Rhinolophus ferrumequinum: one gene and its partner. The protein of the gene in region 1 purifies or fractionates together with the protein of each later gene. This does not show direct contact. Links are inferred from orthologs where the notes say so. Each region holds a gene or a part of one and is shown in the gene's direction. Other genes may lie near its edges.

Region 1 (3,745 bases):
GTTCTCCTAAAGGTGGGAAGGCCTGGTATTAGCTGTCCCATATTAACTTTCAAGAGACTATCAGATGAAGAAGTCTCATCAAAAGCAACCTACTTAAGTATGAACAATGCCCAAACAATGACAACTCAAAATTCTGGGCACTATACTAAGAGAAAACTCTTCCAGCATAGGTGATACTTAAGAATTTTCTCTCTGAAATTAGCCAACTTAAGTGGTTTCAGTCACAACACTTAAGGAAAAAACGATGGTTTATGAAAAGCAGGTAATAACACAAACCTTTATGCCACTCTTACTTAGAGATTCAAACAGTTCAATCTCACAAATGTGTTAAAAGCTCTCCCTTTCTCCACAATGGTAGTCAAGCAGCATAAATGAATCGACATTGAATAAAGCAAAGGCTCCCAGAAGTTGTGTGAAGTGCTACAAATTCTTATTTACTAACAGTTTAGGTCATACATTTTTTGAAAATTACATGTCTTTGGTATGCCTTTGTGTTCTCTACTCTCCTTTTCCCTTCTCAGATTGTATTTGTTGCTCTTTGGTCGCCCGATACTTCCATTTTCTCCTTTTATGTTCCTGTTACTCACACCAAACGGCAGCAACCAGGGGTGTAACTGATCACATCTCTAGTATAATCTTTTTCTTATTCTAGGACTTTCCAGATAGGAAAGGAAGACCCAGTTGCAGCCCAAATACTATTTATTCCGATTTTCCAAGCAAAGTGTGTGCGCAAAAGCGTCTCTTCGCCTTTCATTTTGTTTCCATTTAACTAATACCGCTGTTGTGCCCAAACGCAGATACCGGGTTAAGAGCTAGCTTTCCAAAATGGCTTTGCTCCTTTCGAGATGGCATTGGTCTACAAAACGCAATTTATTTCCACTGCAACCAACCCTTCTCTCTACCCGAAATATTACCCAACACACAGACAGCTGAACCTAGTGTAGACAACCGAATCACATCTGCTAAATTCAGTAGAGAGCCGGTATAGCCGTTGGACTATTGTAAAAAGAGTGAAAAACACACAAAAAAAACCCCGAGGGGCGGGCGTCACACAAGATCCCGTCCCCCCGCCGCCGTTGCAGCCGCGAGCACGCCTCCCCTCCATGGCCACGCCCCTCGCCGCCACGGCCGTGCCCACGCCCATCGCCAACCCCCGCCCCGCCGCGGCCACGCCCGACGTGAGGCGCGGGAGCCGCCGGGCCGGGGGCGGGGCCTGCACCCTCCCCCCAACCCCCCTCACCCCCCCCGCCGGCGGCGGCCTCCGCGCGGGCCTCCCAACCCATATTCCACTCACTTTGTTCTCTGCCTTTGTCCTAATCCACACCAGCAGGTGGAGCCGCAGTTAAAGTTTCCGAGTCCATTCAGGGAGCGGGAGCCCATCTTGCTCGCCGCCAAGGCCCTCGGTGGAGGAGGAGGGTCAGAGCTCGGGTGCAGCCAATCGCGAGCAACGCTGCTAGTTATCAGAGCAGAATGGGCTGTAGTTTAGTGAAATAGGAAAGCTGCAAAACACTGTGGAGTGTTCCCGTGTAAATAAAAAGAGGAAAAAAAAGTTTCTCAAGTCGCCGCTGCACTACGTCGGGCCGGCGCCGCGGCGGGGGTCTGCGCTCTCCCGGGCGGCCGCGCGCTGGACTTGATTGTGCCGCAACAAGCCCCCGTTCCCATTGTTTGTTTTTTTCAAAATATGGCAAAGGTTCAGGTGAACAATGTAGTGGTGCTGGATAACCCTTCTCCTTTCTACAACCCATTCCAGTTCGAGATCACCTTCGAGTGCATCGAGGACCTGTCTGAAGGTGAGTCGGGCGCCCGCCCGTCGCCGGGCTGTCAGTTGCGGGCTGCAGACGTTGAAAGTTTCCCGGGCCCGGCCTCGCGCGGGCGGCCGGTGCTCGGCGCCGGGCGGGCTGCGGGCTCCGGGCTTGGCTCTGCGGAGGGAAACTTGAAGTTGATGGACGACGGCACCGAGGCGCGCGAGGCGTTCAGCCGCAGCCCGGGCGCCTGCCGCGGCTCAACTTGCTAGGAACTTGTTCCAGCAGAGGTAGCCATGTTGTCAGCTTTGTCTGGTGGACCGGCGGCTCGCGAGACCCGCACTCCCGCCGGCGGAGCCGACCGGGGGTCGCGGCGGGCTGGCCCCGCGCCGCGAACGGCCTCCACGGTCCCCGCGGGAAGGCTGGGAAGGGGTAAGCATGTGTGTGGTCGCGCCGGCGAGTTAGCAGCGGAGCCATCTTACCCAGAGTAAAGAAGTGGGCCACCGACCCCGGCGTCACGACGCCTCCTCTCCGCGGGTGACGAACACGGCGCCCCGCCTGCCCACCTTCCGGCCCCCGAGTGGAAAGGCAAATCCATCTTTAGGGCTTACGCTGGAGTCCCCGCACTCTCTTGGGTGGCCATTCCCGGCCGCTTTGGGGAGGAGAGCGAGGCTGTCTTCGCGCTGATTTCTGGCTCCCTCGACCAACCAGTAGGGGAGGCGGGCGCAGGCTCGGCGCCGCGGGCCGGGCGCCGGCGCTCCCCGGGGGCCGTGGGTGCTCCCTGGCCGGCGCCCGGGATGCCCGGAGCGCCCGGGATGCTCGCGCGCAGGCTCGCCTCGAACAACGTGGACTCCTTTCCTTTAATGACTGAAATCTTCTCTCTCTCTCAGGAACAAAAATACTGTTAAGCTAGAAAGTTACATTTAACCCAAGAGTAGAAATAAGGAAAATACTTAATTACCAGGACTTAATTACTGGCTTCTAAATCTGAAAGAACACTTTCTTCACGAACGTATTGAAATCTAATTAAAATAACTCCACATCCAAACATCCTGAACATAAAACACAAAAGTGGGCTAGGAGATAAAAGGTAAAGTCCTAATGGCAATGCAAAAAATTTTACTATTTTTTCTAAGTATGTTTTAAGGTCTTAAAGAAGATAGTTTTAATATGTGCAGTAATAAATATTTAGAAAAGTAAAATTTGCCAAGGTCTAATCTTTGCGATTTTATTAAAAATAATCCAGTGCTTCATTTTGGAAATTTGAGGGGGAAAACGTTTAACTTCAGTGGTAATTTTACAACTAAATAGAGGACATAACTTCTTTGAACTTAGAAATCTATTTAGCAAAGTTCATTTTAAATTATTGTGCTAATTAAGTCATGTAAGGCATTTCACTATGAAAATTAGTTTTTAATCTGTAAGAAGTATCTTACGTAGGGTGTTAATTTTTTAAATTATAAAAATACGCGCTCATTGAAATAAACTTTTAAAAAGTTGTACACACATATATAAAGTAACAGTCCTCTGTACTCAGTGCCTTCCCCATCTCACTCCTGTATAAGTAACCATAATTAACACTTTAATCTGTGCTCCTCTATAAAGTTTAAATGCGCATATGAAGCACATAGCACATATACTGGGGTGCCAAAAAAATGTATACAATGACTCTGGTCAATATTGCTCAAGCAGTAGTTCCGGTAATCAGAAGTGTCTGGATGCTGATGGTAACCACGTTGAGCACCTCGTAATTGCTGAAGTCCAACGTGACTTGTGTTCACCTTTTGTTATGGGTATACATTATTACAATTTTAATAGTTTTTTTCCTTTCTTAAAATGTGGATACATTTTTTTTGGCACCCTCTGTATATATACCTTGTAGTGCACATTTTGGAAGATGATTCACTTGTTAAAATAATTTCTAAATAGGCCATTGATAATAAAAATTAAAGGGGATTTTTCTTGTTACTCTGAAACCATTTGGTTCCTTTCTACTAGTATTA
Region 2 (3,745 bases), on another chromosome or scaffold:
TGTTGGAGGCTTCCTGCCTTTCAGGTATCCTCCCTTTATTCCACGACCACCACTCTCAGATTCCTTACCACTTTTCCTTGCCCCACTCACCCCGTACCCTAACCCAATGTCAGTGATAATCTCTGGTTCAGCTGTAGCGTTAAGAGATCACCAAAGGGTTCCCCCTTTATCCAAGCAGGACTGAGCTTGAATCAGTTCAGATATGAGGGTGTCTCACTTGTAAAGCTCTCCAGAGACACTGATCCTTTCTCCATCTTCCTGGTTTCTGAATTTAGGGTCTACAGGTACCATGTTGGGCTTAGTTAAAGCCCATTTGATTCATTCAATTTGTTGAGTACCTCTTAGTGGCAGGCAGGTGATACAATGGAAAATAAAACAGACGAGATCCCCAAACTCAACCTATCAAAAATGTTCTGAAAATGGAAGCAGCTAATCATAGGTAAAAGAATCTTCATTAAGCCAGGAACTCCAGGGCACAGAGTGAAGTGAATCCACTTCCCACAGTGACCCAGTAACATAGAGGGGTGGGGACTGGATTTTGGCCTGGCCCCGTGCTGGCAGTGCACAGCCATTTAATGCTGTGTCTCGTTTCTTCTCTTCACAGTGCCATCTCTGTGGAGCTGTACTACATCTTTGCCACAGTATGGGGTCGGGAGCAGTACACTTTGTATGGCATCCTCTTCTTTGTCTTCGCCATCCTGCTGAGTGTGGGGGCTTGCATCTCCATTGCACTCACCTACTTCCAGTTGTCTGGGGAGGATTATCGGTGGTGGTGGCGATCTGTGCTGAGCGTTGGCTCCACCGGGCTCTTCATCTTCCTCTACTCAGTTTTCTACTATGCCAGGCGCTCCAACATGTCAGGGCCGGTTCAGACGGTGGAGTTCTTTGGCTACTCCTTACTCACTGGTTATGTCTTCTTCCTCATGCTGGGCACCATCTCCTTTTTTTCTTCCCTGAAGTTCATTCGCTATATCTATGTTAACCTCAAGATGGACTGAGTTTTGGGTGGCAAAACTACTGCTCTTCTCTCCCTTTCGTCATGTCCCATTTATCTGTTACCAACATCTCTTCTGATTGACTGAATTGTTGCCTTCCCCTTTGCCCTTCGGGCCTCCCTTCCCCAGAGAGGGCCTGAAAACTATAAATCTCTATTATATAAGAAGTATATATTTGAACTTTTTAAGTTGCTTTTAGTTTTGGTCCTGATTTTTCTTTTTTCAATTATCAAAATAAAATTTATTAAGAAAAAGGATCCTGTAGTTGGAGGGTTTGGTCTGGATATAGGAAGTCGAGCCCTGCGGAGGGCAGTGTGCCTTAGAAAGCCGGGGCGGCCGCGCAATGCACGGAACTCGAGTTCTCCACGGACCTTGGGAACTTGGGAACTCTCGGCTCCAGGAACCTACATCGCCAGGGCGTTGTTTCCGCGGCTCAGCAGCGATCAGCCCAACGGAAGCGGCGAAGCCGGAGCGCTTTGTGCGAAGCTAGTTGAATCACCCTGGCGACGGGAGGGGCGCGGTGCAACGCCCTTTCCGCCGGAAGTGGGTTTCAGAACCTCCACGTGCTGTCCCTCCCCCATCCCGGCCGAGTAGCGTCGGCTCGGCGGCTGCCATGGAGCCCGCCGGCCTGGAGCAGATCTTGCGGGAGCTGCTGCTGCCAGACACCGAGCGCATCCGCCAGGTACGGGGCAGGCGGGGCCGGTCCAGGGCGAGCGGGAGGTTGCGGGAAAGGGCCGACTGTGACCCCAGCCTCCCCCAAGGCCACGGAGCAGCTCCAGATCGCTCTTCGGGACCCCGCCGCTCTGCCTGCGCTCTGCGACTCGCTGGCCTCGGCGGCCGACCCTCAGGTGAGGCTCCTGCCCCTTCCCGCCGAGCTTCCCACAGTATGCCACGGGTCAAGCCGCAGTTCCTGCCCGGACCCTCACGTGCCTGCTTTCTCGTCCCAGATCCGCCAGTTCGCAGCTTTGCTGATCCGCAGACGACTGAGCACCCGCTGGCGACGGCTCGGTGCGGAACACCGGGAGAGGTGGGCAGGGCCAGGGGCGGGGCGGGGCCAGGCTGCGATGGGCAGGCCGAGTACCAAACACCTGCCACCTGTGTTCCAGCCTCAAGTCCCTGGTCTTGACTGCCTTCCAGAGAGAGACAGAGTAAGTGCCTACCCGCCTCTTCTCCGGATCCTTACTGATTCCAGGCTGAGACCCTCTCTCGGTTTCTGCCTTCTCTTTCAGCTCCAGGTTGGCACTTGGGGGGCAGGGACTTCAGTTTTAGACCAAGGGTGGAGCAGGCATTCTAGGCTGTGTTGAAGACTAAAGTTCTTGAGAATGGGTTGTGATGGTATGCCAAAGAATGGAACTGAAACTAAATCTGAGTGAGGTCACGCTCACCAGATTACACACCCACCATGCTGCTCATTTTCCTCTGAGCCTCTGTCTTATGTGTCCCAACTTGGCAAAGCCCCCACCTGGAAGTTTCTTTCTTGACCACGCCATGGAGGCAGTGCCAACATATGCAGGAGAGAGAATTGGAGGGTTGGGGGTCAGGGGAATCTCTCCTGTTTGCAGGCACAATGTGAGCCTTAGCTTGGCCCAGCTCGCAGCCACCATTTTTCGAAAGGAAGGCCTGGCGTCCTGGCCTCAACTCATGCAGCTTCTTCAACACAGTACCCACAGCCCCCACATTCCTGAGAGAGAGGTACTATCACGTGGTTGGTAGAAGGGAGGGACCAAGAGGCTGGATAGACCGTGTAAGGTTTTCCCTCTCATCCCCTACTCCTGGACAGAAGGGGCTTTTGCTGCTAAGTGTCGTGGTGACCTCCCGGCCTGAGGCCTTCCGACCCCACCATCGAGAACTTCTTCGGCTTCTGAATGAGACCCTTGGTGAGGTGGGCTCTCCTGGGCTCCTCTTCTACTCCCTGCGCACTCTCACCACCATGGTCCCTTACCTCGGCGCTGATGACGTGGTAAGATCTCACCTTCCCTGGTGCCCTGTCCTCGGGCCTTCGTGTCCTCACCCTTGCACGATGCAGAACCATTCAGATTCTTTCGTTGCCTTTTGCTCTTCCTAACAATTGAGGGGGGATACTGTGGGTGGCTGTGCCTTGGCTCCTCCGGTGTCCAGGCTTCGAGGAAGCCGCCAGCATCTGGGGCCTGAGACTAGCTGCATCGTGCTTTCTGTGATTCAACTCATCCTGTATCCTCCAGCCTCTTGTGCAGATGTTGGTGCCCAAGCTCATCATGGCCATCCAGACTCTCATCCTTGTAGACGAGGTGAGGACATTTGGGCAGGAGCTCTGTGGGAAGGAGCACAGGACCATCTCCAGCCCGGTCCACTGTAGAAGACCGTGGTAAACCTATGGCTTGTCTTTCTGTTTCTCTGGCAGGCAAAGGCCTGTGAGGCCATGGAGGCCCTGGATGAACTGCTGGAGTCAGAGGTGCCCATCATCACCTCCCACCTCTCTGACGTCCTCACATTTTGCCTGGAGGTGAGCCTGGGTGGGCCCAGCCCCACAGCATGTTCGGGATTTTCCTTGTCTGTCTCTGATTTGCCTTAGTCTCTGTGCAGGTGGCTAGAAACATGGCCCTGAGTGATGCAATACGTGTACGTATTCTCTGCTGCCTCAGTTTTTTGGTCAAAGTCAAGAGCAAGGTGAGTGCCCTCTGAAGCATACTACCCCACCCCCACCTCCACCCCGCGTCTCACTCCTAGGGCTTTTTGACCATCTTGGGGTAGCTAGAGTACCATAGCTAACT

The links.
Region 2: the proteins of ASF1A (region 1) and IPO4 purify together in Homo sapiens (affinity purification with mass spectrometry; 4 studies listed by BioGRID and IntAct, counting the BioPlex papers as one, with this or other methods). This does not show direct contact. The link is inferred for Rhinolophus ferrumequinum from reciprocal best matches to the Homo sapiens genes ASF1A and IPO4.

Annotation. Positions count from the first base shown.
Region 1 is NC_046286.1:69,172,497-69,176,241, forward strand, and holds the start of ASF1A (histone chaperone ASF1A), read left to right. Parts: upstream 1-1,296; 5' UTR 1,297-1,681; coding exon 1,682-1,790; intron 1,791-3,745. UniProt on the Homo sapiens protein: Histone chaperone that facilitates histone deposition and histone exchange and removal during nucleosome assembly and disassembly.
Region 2 is NC_046289.1:74,345,916-74,349,660, reverse strand, and holds the start of IPO4 (importin-4), read left to right. Parts: upstream 1-1,378; 5' UTR 1,379-1,608; coding exon 1,609-1,677; intron 1,678-1,756; coding exon 1,757-1,843; intron 1,844-1,942; coding exon 1,943-2,022; intron 2,023-2,101; coding exon 2,102-2,143; intron 2,144-2,557; coding exon 2,558-2,687; intron 2,688-2,775; coding exon 2,776-2,955; intron 2,956-3,196; coding exon 3,197-3,262; intron 3,263-3,375; coding exon 3,376-3,477; intron 3,478-3,557; coding exon 3,558-3,641; intron 3,642-3,745. Other genes in the region: TM9SF1 (transmembrane 9 superfamily member 1), read left to right, coding at 1-24, 605-998. UniProt on the Homo sapiens protein: Nuclear transport receptor that mediates nuclear import of proteins, such as histones, RPS3A, TNP2 and VDR. Serves as receptor for nuclear localization signals (NLS) in cargo substrates.